Linked DNA regions of Danio rerio. The protein of the gene in region 1 purifies or fractionates together with the protein of each later gene. This does not show direct contact. Links are inferred from orthologs where the notes say so. Each region holds a gene or a part of one and is shown in the gene's direction. Other genes may lie near its edges. The genes, in order: itcha, cflara, cpsf6 and fam189a2.

Evidence for each region.
Region 2: the proteins of itcha (region 1) and cflara purify together in Homo sapiens (affinity purification with western blotting; 8 studies listed by BioGRID). This does not show direct contact. The link is inferred for Danio rerio from reciprocal best matches to the Homo sapiens genes ITCH and CFLAR.
Region 3: the proteins of itcha (region 1) and cpsf6 purify together in Homo sapiens (affinity purification with mass spectrometry; 5 studies listed by BioGRID and IntAct, with this or other methods). This does not show direct contact. The link is inferred for Danio rerio from reciprocal best matches to the Homo sapiens genes ITCH and CPSF6.
Region 4: the proteins of itcha (region 1) and fam189a2 purify together in Homo sapiens (co-immunoprecipitation; 3 studies listed by BioGRID and IntAct, counting the BioPlex papers as one, with this or other methods). This does not show direct contact. The link is inferred for Danio rerio from reciprocal best matches to the Homo sapiens genes ITCH and ENTREP1.

What each region holds. Positions count from the first base shown.
Region 1 is NC_133181.1:60,215,177-60,218,745, reverse strand, and holds part of itcha (itchy E3 ubiquitin protein ligase a), read left to right. Parts: intron 1-150; coding exon 151-220; intron 221-575; coding exon 576-660; intron 661-1,498; coding exon 1,499-1,627; intron 1,628-1,830; coding exon 1,831-1,903; intron 1,904-3,277; coding exon 3,278-3,349; intron 3,350-3,448; coding exon 3,449-3,537; intron 3,538-3,569. UniProt on the Homo sapiens protein: Acts as an Acts as an E3 ubiquitin-protein ligase which accepts ubiquitin from an E2 ubiquitin-conjugating enzyme in the form of a thioester and then directly transfers the ubiquitin to targeted substrates.
Region 2 is NC_133186.1:32,574,729-32,579,044, reverse strand, and holds the start of cflara (CASP8 and FADD-like apoptosis regulator a), read left to right. Parts: upstream 1-1,490; 5' UTR 1,491-1,650; intron 1,651-2,484; 5' UTR 2,485-2,558; exon of another isoform or gene 2,559-2,577; intron 2,578-2,658; 5' UTR 2,659-2,876; coding exon 2,877-3,184; intron 3,185-3,410; coding exon 3,411-3,516; intron 3,517-3,655; coding exon 3,656-3,791; intron 3,792-3,966; coding exon 3,967-4,004; intron 4,005-4,098; coding exon 4,099-4,162; intron 4,163-4,316. UniProt on the Homo sapiens protein: Apoptosis regulator protein which may function as a crucial link between cell survival and cell death pathways in mammalian cells. Acts as an inhibitor of TNFRSF6 mediated apoptosis.
Region 3 is NC_133179.1:2,380,943-2,384,511, reverse strand, and holds part of cpsf6 (cleavage and polyadenylation specificity factor subunit 6), read left to right. Parts: intron 1-146; coding exon 147-320; intron 321-918; coding exon 919-1,402; intron 1,403-3,375; coding exon 3,376-3,491; intron 3,492-3,564; coding exon 3,565-3,569. UniProt on the Homo sapiens protein: Component of the cleavage factor Im (CFIm) complex that functions as an activator of the pre-mRNA 3'-end cleavage and polyadenylation processing required for the maturation of pre-mRNA into functional mRNAs.
Region 4 is NC_133180.1:56,884,856-56,888,424, reverse strand, and holds part of fam189a2 (endosomal transmembrane epsin interactor 1), read left to right. Parts: intron 1-736; coding exon 737-856; intron 857-2,927; coding exon 2,928-3,035; intron 3,036-3,201; coding exon 3,202-3,335; intron 3,336-3,569. UniProt on the Homo sapiens protein: Functions as an activator of the E3 ubiquitin protein ligase ITCH in the ubiquitination of the CXCL12-activated CXCR4 receptor. Thereby, triggers CXCR4 endocytosis and desensitization, negatively regulating the CXCL12/CXCR4 signaling pathway.

The sequences.
Region 1 (3,569 bases):
CTGAAATATTTTTGACACAGTTGTAACAGGACATGCAGTCAGATGTTGAGTTTTTTCCTTAGATGATTTTTAATAAAAAGAATCACCTCTGTGACCTTAGCTGAGGGTATTTCATCTGCTCTTGTTCTTTCCTTCTGCTCATGTCTTCAGCTGCAGGAACAGCTCGCGCCGACAGCTAATAAAGAGTTTGACCCTCTGGGACCGCTGCCGTCAGGATGGGGTGAGTCTGTTTTGTGCTGCAGAAAGAGGAAATTTCATTTCAACCTTAAAATAGAGCAGCTCATACTGGCTTTTTTTTTCTCTGTGTGTGTTTATTTTGGGACGTTATCTATTTGCACATTCTTTATACACTGAAACATAATGTGTGATTCAATCATTTGTGATTATTTGGATGCCGTGTTATTTTAATCAGGATTAGTCACTCAAAAACAATTAAGTGTGTGTGTGTGTGTGTGTGTGTGTGTGTGTGTGTGTGTGTGTGTGTGTGTGTGTGTGTGTGTGTGTGTGTGTGTGTGTGTGTGTGTGTGTGTGTGTGTGTGTGTGTGTGTGTGTGTGTTTGTTTGTTTCGCTCACAGAGAAACGTACCGACAGTAATAGGAGGATGTATTTTGTTCACCATCCTACAAGATCCACACAATGGGAAGACCCTCGCACACAAGGGTGGGATCATTATGAGCTGCACGCAATATATTTATACAGTACTATTTAATATTTATATACTGTTGCAATTCTATAAATATTTACAATGTTTTTTTATTTTTAGTTCAATTTTTAGCCGTTTTGTTGCATGCTTTTGTCATTTTTTTTGTTAATAGTTGAAATAGTATTGTTTTTTTATTGTTTTATTGCTATTAAAGTTTTTTATTAATATTCTGTGCTTGCTTATAAATTTGTAAGCTTATGTTCATTTCAATGTACTATTATTTTAATTTTCATTCATATTAATATTATATTAAGCTTTTTTTATATTTTCAGTATTTAATTGATTGAAATTGTGAGATATTTAGTATTTTTGCTGCATTTTTTTAGATATTAATTATATTTAATACAGACAATGTATTATGTTTTATTGCAATTTAAATTATTTTATTTTTTATGTTTAAATTTCATTTAGTTGCCATGGCAGCATTTGTAAGTTTTATATTGAATTAATCAAGTTTTTTAAAATATTTTTTATTCCTTATCTTTTTATATTATTAGTATTATTATTATTATTATTATTATTAATATCATTTTTATTATTATTATTATTATTATTATCATAATTTTTATTATTATTATTTTTTATTATACATTTTTTGCAACTAAATTACCTAATTTCTGTTTTATAATTATTATTATTATTATTATTATTATTATTATTATTATTATTATTAACCAAATTTCCTCCTTTCTGTATATTATTATTATTGTTATTTATTTGTTATTTATTTTATATTTTTTTACAAGCAGGCAATAAGCATTATATTTGTTGTAATTAATTGTTTTAATTTGTCAGGTTGCTAAATGAGAAGCCTTTGCCGGAAGGTTGGGAAATGAGGTTTACAGTGGATGGGATTCCCTATTTTGTGGATCACAACAGAAGAACTACAACATACATAGACCCCCGTACAGGAAAATCCTCGCTGTGAGTTCTTATATTATTATAAGAAAAACTTTTTTATTTTTAAAACCTTCAGCATGTTGATTTTACACAGTGACGCTCCTGTTTCAGTGTACAAATTAAGTTCAATGTTGTTTTGTTTTGTTTTTAATCAGTGCTGATGCATTGCAGTGAGGTTGTGTGTGGTGTTTTACCATCTGTCTGTTTGTGTCTTTGTGGACCTGCAGTGAGAACGGCCCTCAGATCACATACGTACGAGATTTTAAAGCCAAAGTGCACTATTTCCGCTTCTGGTGTCAGGTAAGACCTCATGGAGGAGTTATACTAATTTAAAATGATTTTTTATAAAGCTGTTTTAATATCTCCTGATGTCTTCAAATCTCTGATGTTTCATTTAAGAAGTCGATGCTTAAAACTTTAATTTAAAATCTTGAATTAAGTCATTTTATTGTAAATTATTGGGGGACAGTGCAGTCTGCTTCCAAAAGAAGTTGTGAGTTTTTGCAAGTTATTTATCATATAAAAATGATAATTAACATTTAATAATGACTAATATACATACACTACCGGTCAAAGGTTGGGGTCAGTAGGGTTTTAAAATGTTTTAAAATAAGCTTCTCCTGCTCACCAAAGCTGCATTTATTTAATCAAAAATACAGTACAAATTGTAAAATTGTGAAATGTTATTGCACTATAAAATAACTTTTCAAAAGTAGTTTTTCATTTCATTTAATAATTTATTCTAGGGATTTTAATGATGAATTTTCAGCTTCATTACTCCAGTCTTCAGAGTCACACGATCCTTCATAAATCACTCTAATATTAATTATCATTGTTGTTATTTTATTATGTATAATGTATATTATTATTATTATTATTATTATCGGTAATAGTAATAAAAAATAATGACTGGAGTAATAATTTCCTTTAAAAACAACATGTAATAAGTTATAAATAAATATTTTATAAATAAGTAATTAACAATTAATTATTATTTTTTACATTTAATAAGGGACACCTTGATGAGCAAAATAATGTTCTTTAAAATAAAAACTGACCTCAAACCTTTGACCGGTAGTGTATATTATTGCATAGTATTATTTATTTGTTTATTTATCTTTATGCTGTTGTAATTAACAAAAATATGATTATTAATTATACAGTTTATTATATAATAATAAGTGTCCAAACCTTTGTTTTATTTCACAAGTCAATGTTTAAAACCTATTTTAATATATTGAAGAAGGTCATTTTTGTGATTCTTTTAAAAAAAATTTATTAATTGGCAGAATAAAATAATATATTTTTAGGCTTTTTTTAAAGTTATTTATCATATAAAAATGATAATGAATATTTAATTACTGATATAAATCTATAAATGCTTACTATGATTTATTTATTTTTTATGTTATATTATTGTTTTTGTTTTTATATTAATAATATAAAAATATTATTATATATACTTCATATTTTATAATAATAATAATACTAATATATGTATGATATAACCCATTTTTTGTAAAAAAAAATATATACATTTAATTTATCTGAAATAAATATTAAAACATTTTTTAATTTAAGAGCTTATGGACATAGTTCCAAAACTAATTAAAAAAATTATTTGCAAATGTAAATATTTATTTATTAATTAAAACATGTATTTTAACACCACAGCAATTATCAATGCCTCAACACATCAAAATCCATGTGAGTCGCAAAACGCTGTTTGAGGACTCATTTCAGCAGGTAAATGATGATTTATTTACACATATTTAAAGTTTAAGGGTCTCATTACATGCGATGTGCAGAAATAAATTATACATTTTTAAAAATTGATTTATTTAGATTATGGGTTGCCATCCACAAGACCTGAGGCGAAGATTGTGGATCATTTTCCCAGGGGAGGAGGGGCTTGACTATGGAGGCGTGGCCAGGTACATAACATCATTGATGGGAAGGGATGCAC
Region 2 (4,316 bases), on another chromosome or scaffold:
GTTTATAGTAAGTATGAAGCAAGTACTATAAAATAAGACCAAAATTAAATAGTAAGTTCTTATAGTTATCTGTATCTTTTCATCTATGAAATGTACTAAAACTTTCTTGTTTTCTCTTGAGCATTGCTTGTTTGCCCAGACACTGCTTACCTTAGATGTTGTTCATATTTGTTCAGTGAGTAAATTCACTAAATGTCTTATACTTGGCGTGAAAATTACAATAAAATGAGCAAATCAGCAAAATATTATTTTGCAGCAGCCTATGCATTTATTTCAGCATTAGAGTCCACAAATGAAAAATGTGAAAGGTGGAAAAAATCTGTTTTTATTCTTTTCAACAAGTCTGTTAGCAAATTAGCCGTAGTTGCATAACAAAACTGCATAAGTGAAAAAAAAAATCTCCAATAGAATCAGCTAAATCGTAACGATCACTTTAACATCTGATCTGTGCAGTTTTGGAACTCAAATTATGTAAATAAAAATAGTTGGTTAGACACATGACTTTATTTACATATCCACATACACTAAGAAAGCATAACAGACCATCTAATCATAGGATTGAGTGTAATAAACTAATTCAGGATCTTAATGTTGTTATACTTAGTTAGAATCGTTTTATAGTAAAATATACAAAACAAACATTGTGTCACATTAAAATGAATTACTATAGTTGATAATTTAAAATAACTACTTCATCTTTTACTAAACTGCAGCAACTTTTAGTTATATATATTATATATATAATAAATATATTTAAATATATAATTATTATTATCAGTCAATTTGTTTGTATTACTATTTTGTTGCAACTATAATTATCACAAATGACCAGTACTTTATGGTTTAACAAATCTATATAAAAACATAAAAACAAATATATTACTTACTTTAAATCACTATAGTACTTCATGTGGGAAATCATTAATAAAAAAAGTTAGAAAATTGAGCAAATAAATACTTATCGCTGGAGTAAAATAATAATATAGTGTTAGACATTTATTAAATGTAAAAAGATTTGTATTACATATAAAGATGTATTATAGCCTACACATATAATCTTGCCATATTTCCTTCATTATAGTGAATCCATTATATAAATTAAACCTGCCCAATTTAGATCGTTGATATATCTCTGAAAAATGTTTCAGCAAAGCCAGCAACGAGTATCTGCTATACTGACTTTGTTTGATGAATAATGACTGATCATCCATGAGGGCTGATATCAGTACAGCTTGTCTCGATAGAGGGGGAGCATGAGCTCTCGCTCCTCCTCCTATAAGCTGTTTTAATCCTGGTGTACGCATTAAAACAGCTTTCAGGAGGCAGAGCTAGAGCTCATGCTCCCCCTCTCTGGAGCTCAGCTCTGCTCAAATGGCTCTGCAGCGAGCACCCTCTCGTTTTAATGCGTGCACCAACCCCACCCCTAACCCTACCCCAGTGACATCACTCGTAGAAGTGCATGAAAGGAGGAACGAGAGCTCAAGCTCCCCCTCGCTGGAGCTCAGCTCTGCCTAAATGGCTCTGCAGTGAGCACCACTACTTGTCTCGATCGACCGGAACAGGGCGTGACTTCGCGTAACTCAAAGGCTTTGGTAACTTTGCTTTCGCTTTTGCTTCAGTTTGTCACGATGGCGACGTACGACGTAAAAGGTAAAAATATCATTTAAATACATTCTCTCTGATCAAATAGCTTACTTTTAGTAAGATTTTTTGTTATAGCTTCATACAAGTTAGTCGATAAACACTTAACGTTAACAAGTTCTATAAATGGCCTACGTAACCTACTATAAGTACAATTTTACCGGACAAATTCGGCTGTAAGTTGAAGAGTCCTAACTACTGAACGGAAGACGTTGTGAACAACATGTAAACAAAGGCAGTTCAAGTCAGTCGACGGTGAAACGTAGTAGTTGTTTTAGAATACGCGTATTGTATCGTTTTGTATTGCTGTTGTGACCTTTAATTATCTGCTCCGCCTGTATCTCTGTCCACGTAGGCTTTAGGAACAGGTGTAAGTTAGTATTGTCGGGAGACTTAGTTATTCATACATTCAACTTTTTGAATCAGCTCGAGTCGAATGTTTTCACAATAAAGACATTAAAGAATCGATTAATCTTTTACGACCGAAGTGGTTCTTCGGAATTCAAAAGTTATGCCAAAAACAATGAAAAGGCGTTGTTAGTAGATAAACGCTGTGAAATAGGCTAGTTAGTAGATAAACGCTTGTGTAGTGACGCTATACAAATTCCATGGTTGATTTCGGAAATCCCCTTGCTTAAGCACACTGACAAGGATGTTTGAAAACATCAAATGTAATGTATTTTAAAGAATATCAAAAAATACCACCGTGGTAAAATGCCCCCCACAAAATCTGTTGTGGATGTCTAGGTACTTTCCATCATTATGGTTTCATTTAGATTTACATCCATCTAGTGATGAGTCCCCTTTCTCCTCCTCTTTTTTTAAAAATTTTTTTTAACTTAGTGTCAGCAAAAGATGAAGCTCGCTGCTGGCAAAACCACCAAAGAATTTGGTGCTCCAAATTAAGGTCACTGAAGGTAATTCAGCCTTTTACAGGTATCTTTCATTTGTTGATGTTTTTTTTTATTTATTTTTTTATTTTTTTGCTAAATTGGGTGTTCTGTTTGTCTTTTACAGGTGTAAATCCAAAGTGGCTACATTCTTCCATTCTGTCAAGATAAATGCAATTTTCATTCATTGATTGCAAAAAAAAAAGAAAAAGAAAAGAAAAAGAAAATACAGCCCTTTTTCTAGACTAACTTAATTAGATTTTAAAAATGCATAGAAAATTCAATTCTGCTTTTAAAATGACCCAAACTATTACCTAAAGTATTTATACAACACCATACGGTGAAATGGCAGATGGATTTTCTACTCTGGTTAACAAAGTGACCGCATCTCTTAGCAGCGACGAGTCTAAGATCCTGCTGTATCTTTGCACTGATTTGTTCAACAACAGTTGTGTGGAAGAACTGAGAGGAGATTTGCTGGCCTTTGCCCAACAGAACCCCAATCAAGCAGGTCAACCTCATTCTGGAAATGCTCTGCTGATGGAGCTCATGTTTCAAATGAAGCGCTATGATTTACTACGCAAAGTTTTTGGCACCAACAAACAACAGGTAGAAGGAATTCTCAGAAAGGAGCGCGTCATCTCAGATTACAGGTAATTTATTCTTCAAATGAACACATTTCAGATATTTCCTAACCCATGACCCATGTGGTGGAAAAATACAATTTTAGTAAAGAAGAACTATTTTAGAGCTTGACATTTGTTTGTTTTTTTAGGTCATTAGAGCAGTTTCATTAGAAATACCCATGTAGAAATACCCATGTGTGTTATTTACACTCTCTTTTGCAGTACGATTATTGAATTGATTACTTTTATACAGGGTTCTAATGGCAGATGTGAGTGAAAACTTGGATAAAGAGGATTTACAATCTCTTATCTTCCTCCTAAGCAGTATCCTGCCCAAAGAAAGATCAACTAGAGCTACTGTAAGACCTTACTGAATATTTCTGTCTGTTCAAATTAATATTTATTCTGCAGAATATTTAGGTAAAACTGAACATGAATATGCTATTTTTCTAGAAATGTGTGTGCTATTTCATTTTGGTTTCAATTGATTTCCAATAGAGCTTTCTAGATGTGGTGGTGGAGTTGGAGAAATTAAATGAAGTATCTTGTGAGAAGCTGGACTTTCTTGAAAAGTGTCTTAAAAATATTCGCAGAAATGACCTTGTCAAAAAAATTCAGGCGTACAGGAATAGAGGTCAGTCCCTTTTGAAAGAAAGTAAAAGAGAAAATCTTCTGCAAAAAAAAAACATGCATTTCTATAACGCACCACAAAGCTCTTAATTTGGCAACTAGACTCAGTTATTTTATTTACTAATATATATCAAATAAAGCAATTACGTGATTAAATTTACTAAATAAAAATTATTTAGGTCAGAACATGCCATGTGCCGCTCCAAATACCTTTAAGGTAAGACATTTAAACAAATATATTGATACAGTATATGAAAAGTATATAAAGCATATTTTTAAACTCTTTGTTTTTCTACTTTTTAAAATTTCAGTTCACCCCTATGCAGTGTCAGCCTTTTGAAAAGCAAGTGAGACAATCACAGTGCTTCAATCATGGTGAGTTAATATGTAGGTATGTACAGTATGTGTAAAGCGGGTGTAAAGGGATAGTTCAAACAAAATTCTGTCATTATTTACTCACACTTCACATTTCACAAAACTAATTGAGGTTCCTTTTTCTGTTGAACCCAAACTTTATTTTGAAAAATGT
Region 3 (3,569 bases), on another chromosome or scaffold:
GTTTTGGAGCACACTAGACTATAGATATCCTTAAAACTAACATCTAATGTTAATTTTGATTTCACGGGGACTTTAAACTTACTGAATGAGAATAGCGTTGCTGTATGTGTGCTGCAGTTTAGAAGAGTGTGTTTTGGTCCACGCAGGCACACAGTCAGGACAGATGTCAGGAGAGGGGAAGGCTGGTCCTCCAGGCTCAGGATCTCGAGGTGGAGGATTCCCTCCTGGCAAAGGTCAGAGACGCTTTCCTGGCCCACCTGGACAAGGAGACCGCTTCCCTGGACCGGTTGGACCTGGCGGTCCTCCACCACACTTCCCAGGTATAAGCTTGAACAGGAGTGAACTTTTGAATTGTCAGTATATACATCAGAACTAACAGCTATTATTATAGGTCTGCAATGGGAGGAAACAAATAGGACTGTAATTTGTTCTATCAGTTGTTGGATCTATAACAACTGATAGAGAAGATTTAATAATGCAAGTTTCTACAACATTATACAGACTTAAAGTAGAGGGTAAAAATGTACATTTTTGTTGTGGACCGGCACATATTGGAATAATGGGAAATAAAATTGGCAGATAAATTGGCAAAAAGAATCATTGAAGAAAAATCAAGTAGATGTTAAAGTACCTTTGGGAAGGAATGAAATGAGATCAGTAATTAATAAGGAAATAACAAATATTTGGCAACAATATTTGGTCTGAAAACTGATGCTCTGAGGTGAATGGGTCACTTTTCAAGTGAATCAGAAAAAGTTGATCAATTGTCCTAAATCAAGAATGGGTGATGTTTAATGTTCACCACAAAACTAGCAGTGTGAGCTCCCAAAATCATACGGTTAGTTTTGATTTCATGTGTATTTTTGTAATCCCTTCTCCTCTCTGCTTCAAAATGTAATGCATCAAATCTTCTTGCAGGTATGCAGGGCCCACCACGTCTTCCCTCTGGCCCACCTGGGCCCCTGGGACCTCCAGGCCCCCCTCCACCTGGACAAGGTCTGCCTCCTCCCCTCGGCGGACCCCCTAACAGAGGAGACCGTCCTCCTCCACCTGTCTTGTTTCCTGGTCAGTTCGGGCAACCCCCAATGGGCCCGATGCCTCCTGGGCCTCCCCCACCAGGATACGGGCCTCCCCCAGGCCCCCCTCCACCTCAGCAGGGACCACCCCCTCCAGGACCCTTCCCTCCCCGTCCACCTGGGCCCTTAGGACCCCCGCTTGGCCTCGCACCCCCACCACACATGCAGGGACCCCCACCTGGAGGCCCACCGCCGGCTCCTCACGTCAACCCGGCCTTCTTCCCACCACCTGGAAACAACATGCCATCATCTGACGGCAGAGGACCCCCACCTGGAGACCCGTACGGCCGCCCACCTCCTTATGACAGAGACTTCCCTGGTGGCAGGTAATAAACACATCGCCCACAACTACACCTATACTCTAAAAAGCCCGAAGTGTATGTGCACAGTTAAATGAACAGTCTTACTATAGTATGCTGTGATGGCATGCTCACTACAACAGATAACACTGCAAATATGCATTCAATTGTTTTTCATTGGAAGCACATTTAGATGTAATTTAATCATTTCACATTACATTTTAATATTGACAGCCATAACTTGATAACATTTTATAAATATTAAAAAATAAGTGAAGTTTCACAAACTAATTTCTAGAAGAGCACGTGATATGATCAACTAGAGCTGATCCTCATCACTGATCATTAGCTAGCCTATCAGATCATTCCAAAACTACTATGAATATCCTGCCTAAACTCCGTTCCCTGTCTTCGTTTTTGGCAAACCCCCTTCTATCCTTCCCTTCTCCTTCCTCGTTAATTATATGATAGGGCAACAGGGTGGCTCAATGGCTGGCGCTGCTGCCTCGCAGTGGGAGGGCCAAAGGTTCAAGTTCTAATTGAGCCAGTCGTTACTCTCTGCCATGAGTTTGCATGTTCACCCTGTGTTCCCGTATGTTTTCCTCGGGTACTCCGGTTTCCTCCAACAGTCTTAAAACATGTACATAAGCGAACTGTAAAGTCATAAGCACTTAACGCATACATACTGAATCAGTCAGAACCACCATATTAACCATAGTATAAAACAAACGAGAGGGCTCTCGAAGAATACCCGATCTCCTATCCAAACTAATGCTCATTGACCAAACGGGAACCTTGTGCTCTTCGATTTGAGATTCAGGTTCTCTCCTGGGACAGCATGCCAAACCTGCTATCATAGTTAAGCATTGTCTAAGTGTGAACTCCTAAATGTATTTATATATTGTTACGTGTTAATGATGTTAAATAATTAAAAGGATGATACGTAACAATCAGTGAGTCCATTGATGCTGGGTGAATAAGGAGAAGACACAAACGCTTGATAAGTGAAACAAAAAGTAAGTATTTATTAATGGATAATGTCAAACAATGAATATGAGATGGAAGATAAATGTAATTTTAAATAATTGAATTAAATAAAGAAAAATAGGAGTGTTGCCAAAACAAAGAAATAAATATAACAAAACGATCTAACTAAACCCCAACCCACTAAACTGACTGATCAAAGAAAAATGCAGAAACAAAACAGTAATCTTCAGCACGTAGCTTAACTAAACTTCATAACTCCCAAACATAATTACACATGAGGCAACGCCTCCAAAAACGAACTAATACAAAGTTATACTAAGCTGCTCGAAATACTAGAATTCTTGTAAAGTACAGACTGTTAGCCATTAGCAAAACAAGATCTCAGGTAATCCAATTCTCATAAAGATCGTTCATATTCTCACTATACATTAACCTGAGCAGCACAAGTTTAACTGATAAATCCATATCAACAAAGAGAAAACTAGAACACAGCACTCGCAAACAAACCAAGCGGAACAAACAAGTCAACAGTTTGAGAGATTGACAGGCCAAGCGCTCCTCCAGAACAGCGCAAGCGCACCGGTTTTATACTGCGCGGACCCAATCCTTATTAGCGCCGATTGAGTGACGAAGGTGAATGACAGCTCACTCGACCAATGGTAGCACACCTGAAACAGGATAGGACCACTGCGAGAGAGAGAGAGAGAGAGAGAGAGAAGAGCGCAAAGCAGAAAACAACAAAAATACCACAAAACATACGTGAAACGTAACTATTTTTTTAAACCTGTCTATCTTGCATTTGGATGGTATTTCCTTTTATTTTGGTGTCGCTTTAGTTTTTAGTTGCTGAAATGTCTGTGCCTCACTTTGATTTAACATGTGATGCAATGTGATTCAGCACTAACGACCACTGCAGCTCTTTGTGTGAATTCGATCCCTGAAGCATTACGCTTCGCTCTGACTCGTGCTTTTAGTTTGCGCGTGTTCATTAATCAGCATTTTGTGTGCTTCAGGGACATGGATGCGTCTCGCACTCCCCTGAGCGAAGCTGAGTTTGAGGAGATCATGAACCGGAACAGAGCGATTTCCAGCAGCGCTATTTCAAGGGCCGTTTCTGATGCCAGTGCAGGTGTGGAGATCATTACACCCAGCACAAATATGAGGTGTGGTGTGTTGTGAATTAACCGTTTCCGTTTCTGCAGCTGAT
Region 4 (3,569 bases), on another chromosome or scaffold:
GATTCAGTTCAGTAAGAGATTCAACTGCTACTGGTGTGGCCAGTCTGTTGGAGTTCTAAAAAAGTGATACTTTGGAATTATTTTTTAAATGTAACTATTAATTGTGTCTGATCTCCCTCTGTTTGTTACATCAGTGACTTCGTATCTTTGTGTTGTTATTGCATATTGTACCTGAAAACTTTAATTTTATAATAATTCATACTTTCTGTTGTCGGCTTTGTCCCTTTATTAATCTGGGGTCGCCACAGCAGAATGAACCGCCAACTTATCCAGCACGTTTTAACGCAGCGGATGCCCTTCCAGCTGCAACCCATCTCTGGGAAACATCCACACACACACATACATACACACACACACACACACACACACACACACACACACACACACACACACACACACACACACACCAGCTGCAACCCATCTCTTGGAAACATCCAAACACACACACAATTTAGCCTACCCAATTCACCTTTACCGCATGTCTTTGGACTGTGGGGGAAACCGGAGCACCCGGAGGAAACCCACGCGAAGGCAGGGAGAACATGCAAACTCCACACAGAAACCAGAAGCCAACTGAGCCAAGGTTCGAACCAGCGACCCAGCGACCTTCTTGCTGTGAGGCGACAGCACTACCTACTGCGCCAGTGCTCCGCCCATTTAATACTAAAGTATTAATAGATATTGTCATGAGATAACACAGAGATATTAATGTAATACATGTGTTTGTGTGTTTCAGAGTGAGCAGGGCGATCTCTGTTACTGTTGTTCAGAGACTCCAAGTGCTCAGTGCCAAGAGGAGAAGCTGATAAAGATCTACGCAGGTCATGCATGTGGCACAATGAGAATCCTGCTCAAAGTATGTGCAAATTAATTTTGACAATAAATAAATGAATATAAAACATATATAGTTGTATAAGCAAAGAAACACAGATGAGAACTAATAACACCATAAAATTCAATATTTCTGAAAATTTGATTACATAAGCTCAATGCAATAAAGTATTTTTAGTATAACCATAAAAAGTATGAGCATGCACAGCACTCAATACTTAGTTGGGGCTCCTTTTGCCTGAAATACTGCAGTAATGCAGCGTGGCATGAAGTCATTCAGTCTGTGGCACTGCTCAGGTGTTTTGAGAGCCATGTTTCTATGATAGTGGCCTTCAGCTCTTATGAATTGTTGGATTTGGCATATCACATTTTTCTCTTCACAATAGCACATACTGTAGATTTTCTATAGAGTTAAGGTCAGGTGAGTATAGACAGGGGTAATTAAGAACAGGGATATCATGGTGCTTAAACCAGATTATGGTAGTTTTGGCACTGTGTGCAGGTGCCAAGTCCTGTTGGAAAATTAAAAGCGCCATAAAGTTTGTTAGCAACAGGAAGCATGAAGTGCCTGGTATAACATGATAGTGTTATAATGTTTTGGGGGGTGTTTTTCAGCCAGTGGACCAGGGAACCTTATCATAGTAAATGGCACCTTAAAAAATGCTTCAAAACTGTCAACAACAGCGTCATTCCTATGCTGATGAATTGGACCATGGGCACCAGTTGACATTTCAGTACAGTTATGACCCCAAACACACAGCAAAAGTGATGAACAAATGGTTGGCAGACAAAAACATTACCATTTTGCAGTGGACCAGCCAGTTTCCTGATGTAAATTGAATTGAGAATTTGTAGAGTGCTAATTATCACCTCAGTTACAAATTATGGGCTTTATTCTGTGTTAAATGCTACTAATGTACTGTAAGTTGAAATAGCCTATTATATTATTATTATTGCCATACTACTGAAATAAGTAGCATATAGTTTATCTCAGATCTTGGGTTCTAAAATAAAAAGTTTGAACCATGACCAACAACATCAGTCACTCAGTAGCATATTGGTAATTTCAAAGAGGTTTAATATTTATTAATTAGATTATAATCTTTACTATTTTATTGGAAGTGCAGTGGCTGGTATTTAAATGAATGGCTAGTATTTAAATGTTTCTGCCTTGTCGTGTTTGGTGCAGAATCTTGACACGTCAGTATAACCATCTGCGAAGGCAATGCACAGATTTTTTTTGTTTTAGAATTTATATTATGTGGTTTACTCCGTCTTAAAAGTTACTAATGTGAGTCTGAACACCATGTTTTTGAGACATTTGTTGCATGTTGAAAATTAATTCAGCAATTGATTTGAATTGAAAGCAGCAAAACGTTGTTTATCTCGGTCCTCAGAAAAAAAGAAACAGTTGGAAAATGAAAGTCAGTAACTCAGTGCAAACAAGCAATATCAGTACTCAGCCTATGTACTGTACTTTTAATAATGTTAAATTGCTTTAATATGTATTCATGAGATTATAACCCTTATCATTTTTGTTGAGATTGTAGTAGCTGTTATTAAAATGACTATAGTAAAACAAGGCTGTAGTATTTGTTTCTGTTGTGTTGTGTTGCATTTTTTTTGCAAACAGTCAAATTGCTTGCAGCTGAAAACTTGTGCCTATAGAAACTGTCCCTATTTAATATTGGCTGCACACTATAATGGTGGTACATGTCTTCATCCCCAGGCAACTATTTAAAGCCTTAGTACTCTAGTCCTGTTATATCTGGACTCTGAAAAGCACTACTGCCATATATATCCATCATCTCTAGATAAACTCTCGTCAATCCACTCAGTGTTACCCTGCTCATAAATCATTGAATCAGGTATTAAAATATTTTAAAGACTTACACCTGGATTTTAGTGATAATTCTTGATGTTTTTGTGTCTTTAACCATTCACTGGCCACTAAACCATGCCCCCTCTTTGGAGGTAACAAAACCTGAAAAAACTATGCATTGTAGTTAAAACACGATTGTGTATTAATTTTTTTTACATTTTTGATTCTATTTCAATTAAGCCTAATCACCTCTAATAGGTTTTCTCTCTTTCAGAAAGTGCTCTTTGCATTGTGTGCATTGAATGCTTTGGCAACAGCTGTGTGTCTGGTTGCTGCTGCACTCAGGTATATGCAGATCTTCTCAACCAGACGGCCATGCATGGTGAGGCAAACCATATTTTTAAAAGGTTTTAATTCTTGCTTGGTGTGTGAAATAGATTGACAACACTGTTTAGGGATAGTGTGAGCTGTTCAGAAGTGTTTGATGACCGTCTGTTGTCTGTGTGAGTTCTAATATTGATGTGATGATGATGATAATGATTTGGCAGGAAGAGGCCAGGCCTGTTCCAGAGGAAGTGGAGGAGCAGACTCATCTTCCAGACCCTGACGAATTTGTTGCTCCTGCACCCCCTCCTTCATACTTCTCTACCTTTTACTCTTATACTCCTCGCCTGGCTCGCAGGTAAAACATTTGAACCTCATTTTATTACTATACAGCCTACTGTTACAATTGTGCTGTCACTTAAATTGCCAATTTTAGTCTAGAAGTTATTTAATTTAATTATTTATTTATTTGTTACAACTTTATATGTCTGGTTTATTGGATTTAATGACACATGATTTAATATTTAGCTTTTTATTTCACCTTAACTTTTGTTTATAAATAAAAGTTAACTAATGTGTAGGGATGCACCGA